3 linked regions of the Oryzias latipes genome follow. The protein of the gene in region 2 purifies or fractionates together with the protein of the main gene of each other region. This does not show direct contact. Links are inferred from orthologs where the notes say so. Each region holds a gene or a part of one and is shown on either strand. Other genes may lie near its edges.

The links.
Region 1: the proteins of sumo1 (region 2) and microphthalmia-associated transcription factor purify together in Homo sapiens (affinity purification with western blotting; 3 studies listed by BioGRID and IntAct, with this or other methods). This does not show direct contact. The link is inferred for Oryzias latipes from reciprocal best matches to the Homo sapiens genes SUMO1 and MITF.
Region 3: the proteins of sumo1 (region 2) and hif1a purify together in Homo sapiens (co-immunoprecipitation; 3 studies listed by BioGRID and IntAct, with this or other methods). This does not show direct contact. The link is inferred for Oryzias latipes from reciprocal best matches to the Homo sapiens genes SUMO1 and HIF1A.

The regions. Positions count from the first base shown.
Region 1 is NC_019865.2:20,304,016-20,308,411, reverse strand, and holds the start of microphthalmia-associated transcription factor, read left to right. Parts: upstream 1-1,583; 5' UTR 1,584-1,736; coding exon 1,737-1,840; intron 1,841-4,396. UniProt on the Homo sapiens protein: Transcription factor that acts as a master regulator of melanocyte survival and differentiation as well as melanosome biogenesis.
Region 2 is NC_019860.2:9,899,691-9,903,601, forward strand, and holds sumo1 (small ubiquitin-related modifier 1), read right to left. Parts: upstream 2,424-3,911; 5' UTR 2,403-2,423; coding exon 2,391-2,402; intron 2,017-2,390; coding exon 1,942-2,016; intron 1,690-1,941; coding exon 1,612-1,689; intron 800-1,611; coding exon 728-799; intron 652-727; coding exon 583-651; 3' UTR 562-582; downstream 1-561. UniProt on the Homo sapiens protein: Ubiquitin-like protein that can be covalently attached to proteins as a monomer or a lysine-linked polymer.
Region 3 is NC_019880.2:11,968,749-11,973,033, reverse strand, and holds the start of hif1a (hypoxia-inducible factor 1-alpha), read left to right. Parts: upstream 1-1,387; 5' UTR 1,388-1,671; coding exon 1,672-1,703; intron 1,704-4,285.

The sequences.
Region 1 (4,396 bases), on a different chromosome or scaffold from region 2:
TTTGTTTGTTTAAATTCTTCAACCTGGTCATGAATTTTTACAATCATGCCACCCAAGACTCTGTTTCTTAGTTTTCAAGGCTTCACCTCTCAGCAGAAGCAAACTTTCATTTGACATGTCAAAAAAAAAAAAAAACTCAAACTGGTTCAGCAGGAAAAGGAGAATGCAAATAATCCACTTTTGTCTCAGCTGGTTGACGTTGACTTTGACTTTAAAACTCTACTGCCCCTTAGTGGTAAATAGGAGCCAAAGCCTGCAGTTGAAAAACAGCTGGCAAGAACTGGAGTTAAAAAAAAGTGATATGTATTTGTCTTAAAAGGCCAAGGGACGATAACAAAATACTAATACTACTGCTACTAATAATAAAGGATTTTAAAAGGAAAAAGAGTTGATTATGTTTTCAAATCTCTGCCTGGGTGATTGCATAAATAAACTGATGATTAATTGTTTTAATGAAAATATATCTTTAAAAAAAAGACATAATATATATATATATATATATATATATATATATATATATATATATATATATATATATATATATATATATATATATATATATATATATATATATATATATATATATAATTTTTTTTCTGTGATTTTTTTAAACAAAAGGTCTTGACCAAAATAGTTGATACTTTTTATCACGTCATTTTTATTTCTACACACTCTACGTCTTAATTGTAACAACTGACCTCTACAAATTAAAAGTTCATTTTCAGAGTCAAACAGACTTTGACAGTTTAATTTTCAACAGGCACATTCAACAGGCTGTAAAAAGCCAATATAATGCATCACTGGGATATATATCTCAATCAATATTTAGCATACGATGTAAACATTATTGCAGAATATTAATATTTATAATTATTTATAATTATTATTATTATTATTATTATTATTTATAATTAGACGGCTCATGTTGCCTGTGTTAGCGACAAAGTCAGAGAAGCCAGACTGAGATGGTTTGGACATATTCAGAGGAGGGATAGTGGATATATTGGTAGAAGGATGTTGGAGATGGAGCTGCCTGGCAGGAGGGCAAGAGGACGGCCAAAGAGGAGATATATGGATGTCTTAACAGAGGACATGAAGTTGGCTAATGTTAGGGTAGAAGATGTCCATGATAGAGTGAGGTGGAAAAGGATGATTCGCTGTGGCGACCCCTGATGGGAAAAGCCGAATGAGAAAGAAGAAGATTAATATTTTAGTCTAAAGAAAATTATAGCCAGCCTATTGTATTTTCTATTTCTTTTGATTCACAACTATTTGGATAGAGAAATACTTGATACACTTTAAGCCTAATTTTCTTTACATATGTCCTCCATCATCAGATAAATGCTTGAAAAACATGTTAAAAACACAAAAAACGCGATTTCGATCGGAGTGGGTCTCTAAAGGTGTTTATGGGACAGAAATCACCTGCTCAGTGAGCAGGTAAAGCGTCTGAAACCCCGTCGCACCTCGCAGCCAATCAAAGCTAACGCGACATTGACAGCCTTTTGATGCATTGTGGGACTTGTAGTTAGGTCGTATGCCACAGCGCGTTAGCGGGGCTGTTATCACAGCTGGAATAGACTACAGAGGTTCGTGTCCCGGGCAGAGGCGGCTTGCGTTGACAGTTGGTTGGTCCTCGAAGAAGCGCAGCGGCTCCAACATCGCCCCGCAGTTTTGTTTTGTTTTACTTGTTTGTGGGTTTTTTTTACGTTCTGGAAAAGTTGACGTCTGCAAGTATGCAGTCCGAATCCGGAATAGTTCCTGACTTTGAGGTCGGCGAGGACCTTCAGGACGAGCCTAAAACGTACTATGAGCTGAAGAGTCAACCTTTGAAAAACAGGTCAGTCCATTTCCCGTGGACAGTTATTTCCCACTCTGAAGCGGTTTTCAGGTTTGGGTGATAATTAGCCTCCGAGCTGTCTACTGAGCGTCGCGCGGAGGCCGAGCGCGCGCGAGGCTGTCCCGGCGGGGGGGGGGGATGTGTTGCCCAGCTGTGGAGTGGGATTCGGCTGCCTCTCATTCAAAGTTATGCAACACTTGGGTGTTGTCTTGTCAACATCAACTTCAAATATTGGCTCGTGGAGGAGCAGACAGGTCAGAGTTGAGTGAGATGCTGCTCACGCCAGGGACTCCTAACACAATTGATGCTACTTTATTTTTTATATTTCTGTCAAGAATGACTCCAAATGGACCTCAAACAATGTTAGTCAAACCCATTTATTTCATTATTATTTTAGTAAAATATCGATGCTTCATGAGATTTCCCCTTCAAAATAAAAGCACATTCAGAGGCTGCTGGAGGGGTGTAAAAGGTGACCAGTTGTCATAATAGTTGTCCAACCCGATGACCCTGATGTCTAATGTTGCAAGAGTAATTTTGGGGACTATCCGAACTGTGTACAAGTTGCTGAGTCAGCTTTAAGTGGCCCAAATCTGCCTTTCCGCCTTTTTTCAGGAACTTCTGCAGAGCCAGCATGCAATATAGGTTATTTTATTAGATCAGCTGTTAGGATGGAACACTCTAAGAATAGGAGTCAATTATGAATCTGATATATAAAATTGTGTAATTAGATTGAACAAACCATTGTTTCCTATTCGTGGCAAGCCTAAAGTGTAATTTTTAGGAAAGATGATGACTTGGAGTGACGGATTCGTGGATTCGTCAGATATGTGCTAAAGATGGATGAGCAGCGGCATCCTCACTTTTGATGCAACAACATGACTTCTCTCTGGGTGACATGTGAGCAAAACGAAACACCTCAGACTCTTCCTTCAACTTAGGAGCTGCAAAGCTGCTAATGATGACATGCGTCAACAAACTGCGATCCCATTCTCTCCGTCTCCTGTCGTCACCTTAGAGTTTGATTCCCTCAAGGCTGTCCTTGCTGCTGCCAGATCTAGACAGCCACAAGACAGAGCGCCACTGTTCTCAAACAAAGCAGTTTTTTTTCCTGTTGCCCTCCCTCCCTTCTGTTTCTCCGTATTTTGCTGTGGAGTTGCAGCTTTTCTCCTCTTTATTTCTTTCTTTAAGTCGACCAAAAACATAAGCTAAGAGAAAATCGCATAAATCTCATGAAACTATAACCTTTAGCCCAGTTTTTCCTTTTCTTTTTCCAAGTAATGTCAATTTCGTCATTAGTGAAATGTCATTACATTGTTACACGTACATAGACCAAGTCGGAGATGCCGCAAGAGTAAATATAACCCCTGAAATATCAACACAGTTGGCTAGTATGACAGAACATAGTTGAGAACATGTGGGATTTTTCTAAGCCTTTTGCTTTTATTGTTTTTTTTTTTTTAAATGTCCCACTTCCCCTTTCCATCACATGAGCATGATCTATCATAACAATGACTGTGTTGGGAGCCGTTATGACACTAAAGATTGATTATTTGGCGTTGCCCAAAAGTCAGGTAAGAGCTGCTTCGTCCCAGCTGCTTCGGAAGGAGAAATGTTGACAGTGACACAGTATCACCTCCGTTTCACGGATAGGTTTGCTTCCCTGCTGTCCCCAATCAGGCCGACAGAGCGAGCTGCTGCAGACGCTGTCCTGGACTTTCAGTGCCTATATTTAGATGTGAGGCAGACGCTGAACTAGTCTTATATGCAGTGTAAATAAGCTGTATAAATTTAGCCGTAGAAGTGTTAAATCTGAAATAAGTGGGGTTTTTTTGTGTGTGTATGTGCGTTCTCAAGCAAACTCTCGAAGCTAAACTTTTACATTGTTAAGCCCGTTTACATCCATTTAATATATTGGATTTCTTGAATTATGCGATTTTTCAAGTGACCGTGCAAACAGGAGAGTCTGATATCCTTTATCTGATAGTACCGAGATAAAATCGCATTAAGATTTCTAAGATTCCGTATTCCTCTCCACAAGCTAATGCAACCACCAGTTTGCCTAAAACAGGCTGACAGTAGGGCTTGAAAGTGACAGGATTGCATATTCTCATCCTCCAATCATCTTTTGAGTTATTTTACAAGCATTCCCAACAAGCCCTTGTTTAAATATGATTATACCATAGTCCGAGTGAATACTCGATTCTGATTGGCCATTCATCAAAAATTCTGAGTTGTGGGCAAGGCTGTTGGGACAGTAAAACCCGCCCCTTTCCCCCATCTTCATCGCTAAGACCTCAGAGCAGGGAGCTTGTGGCCCACCAAGCTTATTCTCTTCATCACAAATACATTGTTTTTCAAAAGGCATTTTGTTTGTTTGCTCTTGATTCACAACAATTTCAATGAAGACATTCCTCATAAATGCAATTTTAAGCTAAATTTACTAAATAAATGTCTTCCATCATCAGAAAAATGCCACAAGAACACGTTAAAAACACATTTCATTTTCATTGGAGTGGGTCTTTACAATGCATTGCAGCTAGTGCTGTGGAGTCC
Region 2 (3,911 bases):
CCTCATCTGAGAGTGGAATAGATCAACAGGAAATGGACCTGCTCCCTCGTTTAGCCCCGCCCCCCTTCATTTGGACAGACGCTTTGGTCCGTTCCAGGAAAACAACTTTTTTTGTTTTGAATAGATGGAAAGATCAGAAGCATGCCGCTCTGGTATGCTTCTGATCGGTTTCTTTTTACGGTTTCTGTAACCGCACTTACCCAGAATGCCATCTGACATATTTCCTCTATGAGACAATTTTAAAAAACATTTTGGGGAGGAAGAAGCTCCTAAAAACCATTTTCCTGCAAAAGCACATCATTCCAGCAAGGTTGATAAAATAAAAATTTAAAACACGAAAGCGAAATGGTTGCCGGTAAAAATCTTAGAGTGTCCTCCGACGGCAGAGCCACAGGTTCGAGTCCTCGGTCTGTCCGCCTCCCCGACCGCACACATGGAAGCCCTGATTGAGTCCTTTTGCTTTTTTGATTCAGATGGTTTGAAACTTAACAGAAATACATACATACATACAAAACCAAATGATAAAAAACATGAATAAAAGGGGAAAAAAAAGAAGAAAAAAAAACATCAGAAATTGTGGCTTTAATGATTCCAAAGTCCGCCGGTCTGTTCTTGATAAACTTCGATGACGTCCTCATCCTCCATGCCCAGCTATAAAAAAACAGAAGAAAACACAAACCTTAGTGACCACTAGTGCTTGGTTTTCGCTCTTGCGAGTGTCGCTTACCTCTTTTGGGGTTTGGTTATCTGCGATTCTCTGTCCCTCAAAAAGAAACCGTAGCGTGCTCGCCAGGACTCCCTGAAAGAAACGTCATCCTCTGCTGTTAGACCATTAGGAGATTTTTATTTTTCCTTCAATCAGCTCTCCTTGAACGCCGCCGCGAGGCGCTAGGAGCACGAGTAACGATTACATAGACGAGCTTTTAGGTGTAACCCTTATGCTATCTTAGATGACCCCACCCTTACATTGACGTGTTCTCCCTACCATGACAAAAGTGGAAAGATTTCATGTAATCCATGGACACCAGTGAAGATCACAAATCATTGAAGAAGAAAGGTTAAGCGCACTGTCTAGTGGGTCTAGATGACCCAACTCCTAATGTTAAAGGGCCTAGGATAGCACAAGGGTTAAAGAAAATTAAGCTTAAAATTACATTTAAAATTGGGTTATTTTTTTTTTATATTTAAAATCGTTGTGAATCAGGAGCAGACAAAATTAAACTTAGTTGGAAAAAGGTTGCAGGTATGATTCCAAAGCTACTACGGCAAGCCACAAGGCTCCCTTGCAGACAAATAGACTCGTGTAACTTTTTTTTATTTTCCTCGTCCGAGCATCCGGATCCAAACTGTGCAGCTGGATAGCTCCGATATTGCTCGCCATTTTTGTTGCACTGCTAATATTAGCTTGGGAGTCTTAGTAAGCTAGCGGGAGAGCGTGTCAAAAAAATAAATAAAAATCACTAGGAACTTTTTATTTTTTGCAATAGATCAAAAGATGATCAGAGTTATCTTTTTTTTAAATAATGGCGTGTTCTACCATAAGGAACTGCATTTGGATGGATCTGCGAAGGCTGTCATTGGAAAAGTGGCGATGCGTCTTCCTCTTCATACCTGTCTCTGGCTGTAAGACTCTTTCAGCTTCTTTAGATGTGTGGTCATTTTCACCTTGAAGTGGATTTCACTGCTGTCCTGTGGGCAGAAACGGACACACACAAAAAGGTGATGCAGCTCAAAAACAATAACAACTTCCAGCATTAAAACGAATACATCTGTAAATGATAAAGAATTGGCAGAATCATTGACCAAAAATAATAGCCTTCTATAAACAATAATAGAGACACCACCACGTGCCATAACTTTATTTGAAATGGAGTAGAATACGGTTTATTTCTAAATGCAGACAGTAGTGACAACAAAAGCAGAGACACAAAAACAACCTACCTGACCGATCACTTTTAGTTTGATGTACTCTCCATCTTTCTTGTCGCCTCCGTCCTGATTGGAAGGTTTCGTCTCCTGACAGAAACATCACAAAACATTGCTACATGATGCGACCGCTAGCACGCTTTCGAGGAAGGCCCGTCTGTTTACTCCGCGGGTTCCACGAACACAGAGAACATCCACCATAGACACGAGTGTGGGTTCGGTCCCGCCAGCACCAGTTCTGACCCCCCCCCCAAAAAAAAATCTCAAAAAACTACACAAAAGCTCACGTGGAGGGTAAAAAAAAATCGCTAAGTTCAGTCAGAGGCCTGCAGCTAGAACAGCTAACGGTTAGCATGTTGTTAGATAATCACGTACGAGGCAGCGTCCATAACAAACACATTATCGATTTCTTAGTAAAGTGTTGACAGAAAATCATTCGAACTCTTCAACGTTCTTTTTCTTACCGTGTCTGACATGTTTATCCTGACTGTGTGCGGGAGGGGGAGGGAATCCCTTCAAGGTGTAGCGTTAGCTTTTAGCGGTGGCTCTTGCTTTATGTTGTGAGGAATGCGACATCAAACGGAAGTGACGCAGGGCTGTTCAAAATAAAAGTCGCGTGAAGGAATTTGTTTTGTAGCGGATTGTCTCCATAAGAAAAGCGCGCGCGCGCACACACACACACACACTCATACAAAAACCTTGCCTTTTCCAGTATTATGAAGTCTTTACTCCTGTTCAATATTCAAATGCAATATATATGTTTAGATTAAATTTATATATTTTTAACATGGGCTTAAAAAATAGCATTTTATGATAATTTAATAAATAACTATATATATATAGAGAGAGAGAGAGAGAGAGAGAGAGAGAGAGAGAGAGAGAGAGAGAGAGAGAGAGAGAGAGAGAGAGAGAGAGGATGAAACAGTCGACAGCCGACAGTGTGCTCAGTGAATGTCTCAGGCAATGGAGAGCAGAGGATACAGTGCTGGAGGACAGATCCTCATGGGAAGACAAACCCCTGCATGGGACGTACCACCGGACCATAACTGAAGTGGCTGATATCAAGAAGTCCTACCAATGGCTAGAGAGGGCTGGCCTACAGGACAGCACTGATGCGCTCCTCCTGGCAGCTCAGGAACAAGCCCTGAGCACCAGAGCAATAGAGGCTCAGATCTACCACACCAGACAAGACCCAAGGTGTAGGCTGTGCAAATAAGCGCCTGAAACAATCCAGCACATAACTGCAGGGTGTAAGATGCTGGCAGGGAAAGCATACATGGAGCACCACAATCAAGCAGCTGGAATAATATACAGGAACATGTGTGCAGAATATGGACTGGAAACCCCAAGGTCAAAATGGGAAACACCTCCGAAGGTGGTAGAGAATGAGAGGGCAAAAATCCTGTGGGACTTCCAGATCCAGACTGATAGGATGGTAATGGCGAACCAACCAGACATTGTAGTGGTGGATAAAGAACAGAGGAAAGCCGTTGTGGTGGATGTGGCAGTGCCAAGCGATGGGAACATCAGGAAGAAGGAACATGAGAAACTGGAGAAATACCAGGGACTCAGAGAAGAACTGGAGAAAGCATGGAAAGTGAATGTGACAGTGGTGCCTGTGGTAATTGGAGCACTCGGGGCAGTAACCCCCAAGCTGGAGGAGTGGCTACAACAGATCCCTGGAAAGACCTCAGACCTCTCAGTCCAGAAAAGCGCAGTGCTAGGAACAGCTAAGATACTGCAGGACCCTCAAGCTCCCAGGCCTCTGGTAGAGGACCCGAGCTTGGAGGAGAAACCACCCGCGGAGGGTGAGAGAGGCGTTTTTTAAATGTATATATAGTTTTCGTGTTTGTTTTTATATTATTTATTTATTTTGTATTGGTGCAAAGCACGTTCGGTTGTGCTTTTGTAGGAAAAGAGCTATATAAATAAAGTTTGATTTGATGTAATCTTCAATATTCTAACTTTGAAGAATCATAGTTTAT
Region 3 (4,285 bases), on a different chromosome or scaffold from region 2:
AGAGAGGATAAACAGGAAACCACAGAACGTCTCTACAATCGCTTTTAATCGAAACAGGAAAAAAAACATGAGTGACAGTATTTTCTTGTCTGCTACGTGGGGAAGCATTTGGAGATTTGGCAAAAAAAATGAGCCCCGCTAAGCTCTTGAGGTTAAAACGGCACAGACGGACCCTTCCTGTGAGTTTGAATGTGGAAGTCGCTGAGCTCTACGTGTGTTTATCACTTCAAGCCCGTGTTCTGTGGTGGACTAGAAGCTGATTCAAGACAAAAGAAAAAATTTTGCTTTCATTCATTTTTCAACAAAAAATGCATATAAATTTACATCAAAGTCTGCTGACCTGTTAAGACTTCCCTTATTAAGTCAATAAAGTTCATTGTGTCTATAAGATTAACTGACTTATTGGGTTATGTCAGGTATGTGTAAAAACACAAACCGTGTCTGATAAAAAATAACCCAAGAAGTCAGTTACCTTATTAAGGATTTTCCTCCTAAGTAATAACCTGCAACATAACCACGGTTTGTGTATACTGTATATATGTCATGTTTGGCAGCTGTCTGTAGGTTATATCTGAATCCACCCCATCTTTAATTACATCCAGAGCTTCCGGCAGCTTCCAGCAAAACCTTATTGAGTCCCCAATCTCACTCTGCTGTCCAGCATCTTTGACTGATAATCCCTTGAATCGGAGGAGATAATGAAAAAGACTCCACACAGAGACCCTCCAAGTAATTCCCCTATAGCAATCTTCAGGTTGATGCATTTCCAGTCCACAGGCCTATTGCTTTGTACTCTCAAGCTTGCTGTTTCTGCAGCAGCTCTAAATGAGTCAAGGAAAAGTTTTTTTTTCTCTGTCGAATGATACCTTTTATTTTCATTTTTACAGAATTGTGTCTTTGAATTTTAGGAGCAGATTACAACACAAATAGAAAACATACTTTATAGTAACTTTCCATTTATTTTTGTAAGGCAAATGTTAACTTTGCATTGTTTGTGTTGATCCATCCATGTGTCTGACAAGGAATAGTGACAGACTACTCAAAACAAAAGATGTTTCCACTATAAAAGCACATAAATAGCATAAATAAGGTAAATTAAAAAAAATTGCAAAAGGCCTTAAAAGGTAGAATTTGTATAAAAAACATAAGATGTAAACAATTACACATTTTTTGTATGTTTAGATACAATTTAAAAATCTTGTATCAATTATTCCCTGGAACATACATACCTTAACCTATTTGCCCTAAAATTGCATTACTTTTAATAAGTCACGCGCCATGCAGGCAGCAAAAATGTGTGCAATTTTAAGCAGCAGGTGATTTTAGCTTGCAGCGCGCGCCCCCGTTGGTGGAAAATAAGGACACGTGATTGCGCGTTCCCGGGAGGCAGCAGGAGGAGTCAACGATCCTTCGCGAGGCAACATTGTCTTAGCAAGAAGCGCGTCTCCTGCGTGGCACATTTTCCTTAACCCTACGGAAAGTATACCGAATAGCCCGATTTGAGCCAAAGAGAGTTTGATTTATCCAACAAAGGATATCTGCCTCGAACTCTTATGCAACCCACTTGAGAGGCAACGGATTAACATTGAGGGATTGTGGTTCATTTTCTGACGCGCCCGGATACAGCTTCACACCGATAGAGAGGCTAAACTCAAGTCCTTTCGTCCTGACATGGACACAGGATTTGTACCCGAAAAGAAAAGGTAACGTCACAGTTTGCTAACGCCGCTACTCGTCTGCTTTTCGTTTTAAACATTTCTAAACATGTTTTTCTTTTGTTAGAACTTTAATATTCACTTACGTTTACTACTCTCTACGGTCCAAAATTTCTAGCTTACTGCCAGTTTGGTGTGTTTGTTGGACTTCATACGAATGTCATCGCTGCTAGTAGTGTCGTTAGCAAAAATGCTAACATAGCTAGCTGTCGGAAATGGTGTTATATTGAAAGGTCGGCGTCAACCTGTCTATTTACACTAAATCTTTATATTGAAATAATTTAATGTGCTGGAATTTTTAAAATGTAGTTTATTTACGTCATTAAAACCGTTCTCTGCGTTTCCCTCCATCATCATGTGCTTTTTGTTCGGAAACTTCTTTAGATCCCAGCAGATGTGGTCGATTTTCTAAATCTTAATAATTAATAATACTTCGATTAATATTTGCAGTTTTTATACATCTAGTTACATTTGAGTAGATCAGTGGATTTATGTGGTTTAATAGTATTGACTGGTCAGTGAACACCTGCTGCTCACGTGTGACTTGTGGCCTGAAGTTCCTCCTTGTCTGCTTAAGTTTTAGTCGTTTTGAATTTGAGACTAAAGATTCATTTTAAAACTCTTGTTTTAGCCTTTTGTTTTGCTGAAAGTTGCTTTTTAAAAACCCATTTTAGAAAAAATTTGTTTCACCAAATGCCTTTGGTATTATATTATTATTGCTTTCCAAAAAATAATTAGATTTAGAGTAACACTCAACCATAATAATAATAGCAACAATAGTAATAATGATGTAAGATATAAAGGTTGTACAAGTGTCGTGCAACAGAGAAACTTTAAAGTTTCAGTTAATTTCGTTACTTTTAAGGTTAGGCAGCCATGTTTATTATTTGAAAGTTGTAGTTTTTTTACACAAAATTAACAATCATTCTATAATAAAATGTACAATTCAGTGAATAGAAATTATTGATAAAAACAACTCATTTGTAAACTGAACTACCAGTTTATCAAAGCTGATGCAATGAAGGGTAATCACATTTTACTAAATTGAATGATGTCTGGATTTTAATACATTGACAAAGTAGGATATTTATGATAAAATAATTGTGTTCTTTACTCTATTACAATTGATCTGACATTTTGGTTTAAAATATTAATCAAAATATTTGTTGACATTTTTTATAGACATAATACATATTAATTTTTAGATTTTACATATTATTTTATAACTTTTGTAATGTAAGTTTCTCATCTTAAAACAGCCATGTAACTTTGAACATTTAGTATACAGTATTTTGCATGAAGCAGAAATGTAATAAAGAAATGTATGTTCAACAGGAAAAAGTAAAAAGAAAAAGGTTTCCTCCCAGCAAGACATATTTTCTGACTTCCCCCCCCCCATAACTTTAATTCCCTGATGTACCACTTAATAACAAAAAATTTTTACCTACAAAAGCTCATAATGATTATGATTCAGCTGCTGGTGAAAAATATGAACATAGTGAATAGTAGTAAAAATTTGTGATGAAAAAACCCTTATAGTTCAGAAAGAAAACTTTATTTTTTTACACTGGTCAAGCACAAAGAGTGGCTAAAAGTTGAAAACTAAGTACATATCCTACTGCATCTGTCTGCCTAAACAGCTAAATGTGTGGTGGTTTTAGAGCTTTGTTTAGATCTAGATAATGGGGTCATCATTTAAACTGGAAATAAACACGTGTTCAGTCTTGGCCATTGTGGCAGTTTATTCTGATTTAGTTCTTTCAGACCTCCGTAAATTGTTTTGCTATAATTTCTGTCTCATCTCTTAATCACAGGGTCTTGACGTCAATGGGAGTGGCTAAAAGTGTGTAGGAATTCACTGAGTGGCGATGGGTGCTTCCTGTGAGGCATTCAAGGAGCAGACTAGTTAGAACTAGAAACAGATTACCTGGATTATATAGAAGGACATGTTTCTGTTTTTTGCCAAAAATATAACTTTATGGCTGTTTCCTGAATTGAATTAAATTAAAGTTGAAATTAGGATTTTTGTATAATTACCTACTGTGACTATGTTGGGGGTTTTAACCACTGGGAAGTGCAGACTTAGAGGTCAGAGATGGATGTTATGTCATAACAGAAATCTTAAGTGAGAGGAACTCTTGTGAGCTGTTTAACTTTTTGATCCCTCATAAATATGCCAAAAGGCTAACGAAGATTGTTTCTTTGTCTTTTGAGTTGTTTTTTTTGTTTTTTTTGGTGTTAAAGCTGCAAAGATCAACGGGTTATGGGCCCAGAAGCAACTAAAAAGAAATCTTAGAAAAAAAAATATGATTGATGATTTTATTATACATGAAAATTTGTGGCGATTATCATGCTAACGTCGGGATAAATTCACAAGAATGCTCCATCACTTATATTTGATGTTAATAAAAGCAAGTTTGAGCAATGTCAAAACTTGCTTTTTGACCCAATAGTGAAGCTAAAGAGCAGCAGGCGCTCAGAAAAATGCAGATGAGAGATGCAGCTGTTAATCAAAGAAAAGCACTGAGAAATCTGAGGAATTATTGCTGCAGAAAGGTATTTTTAGCCTG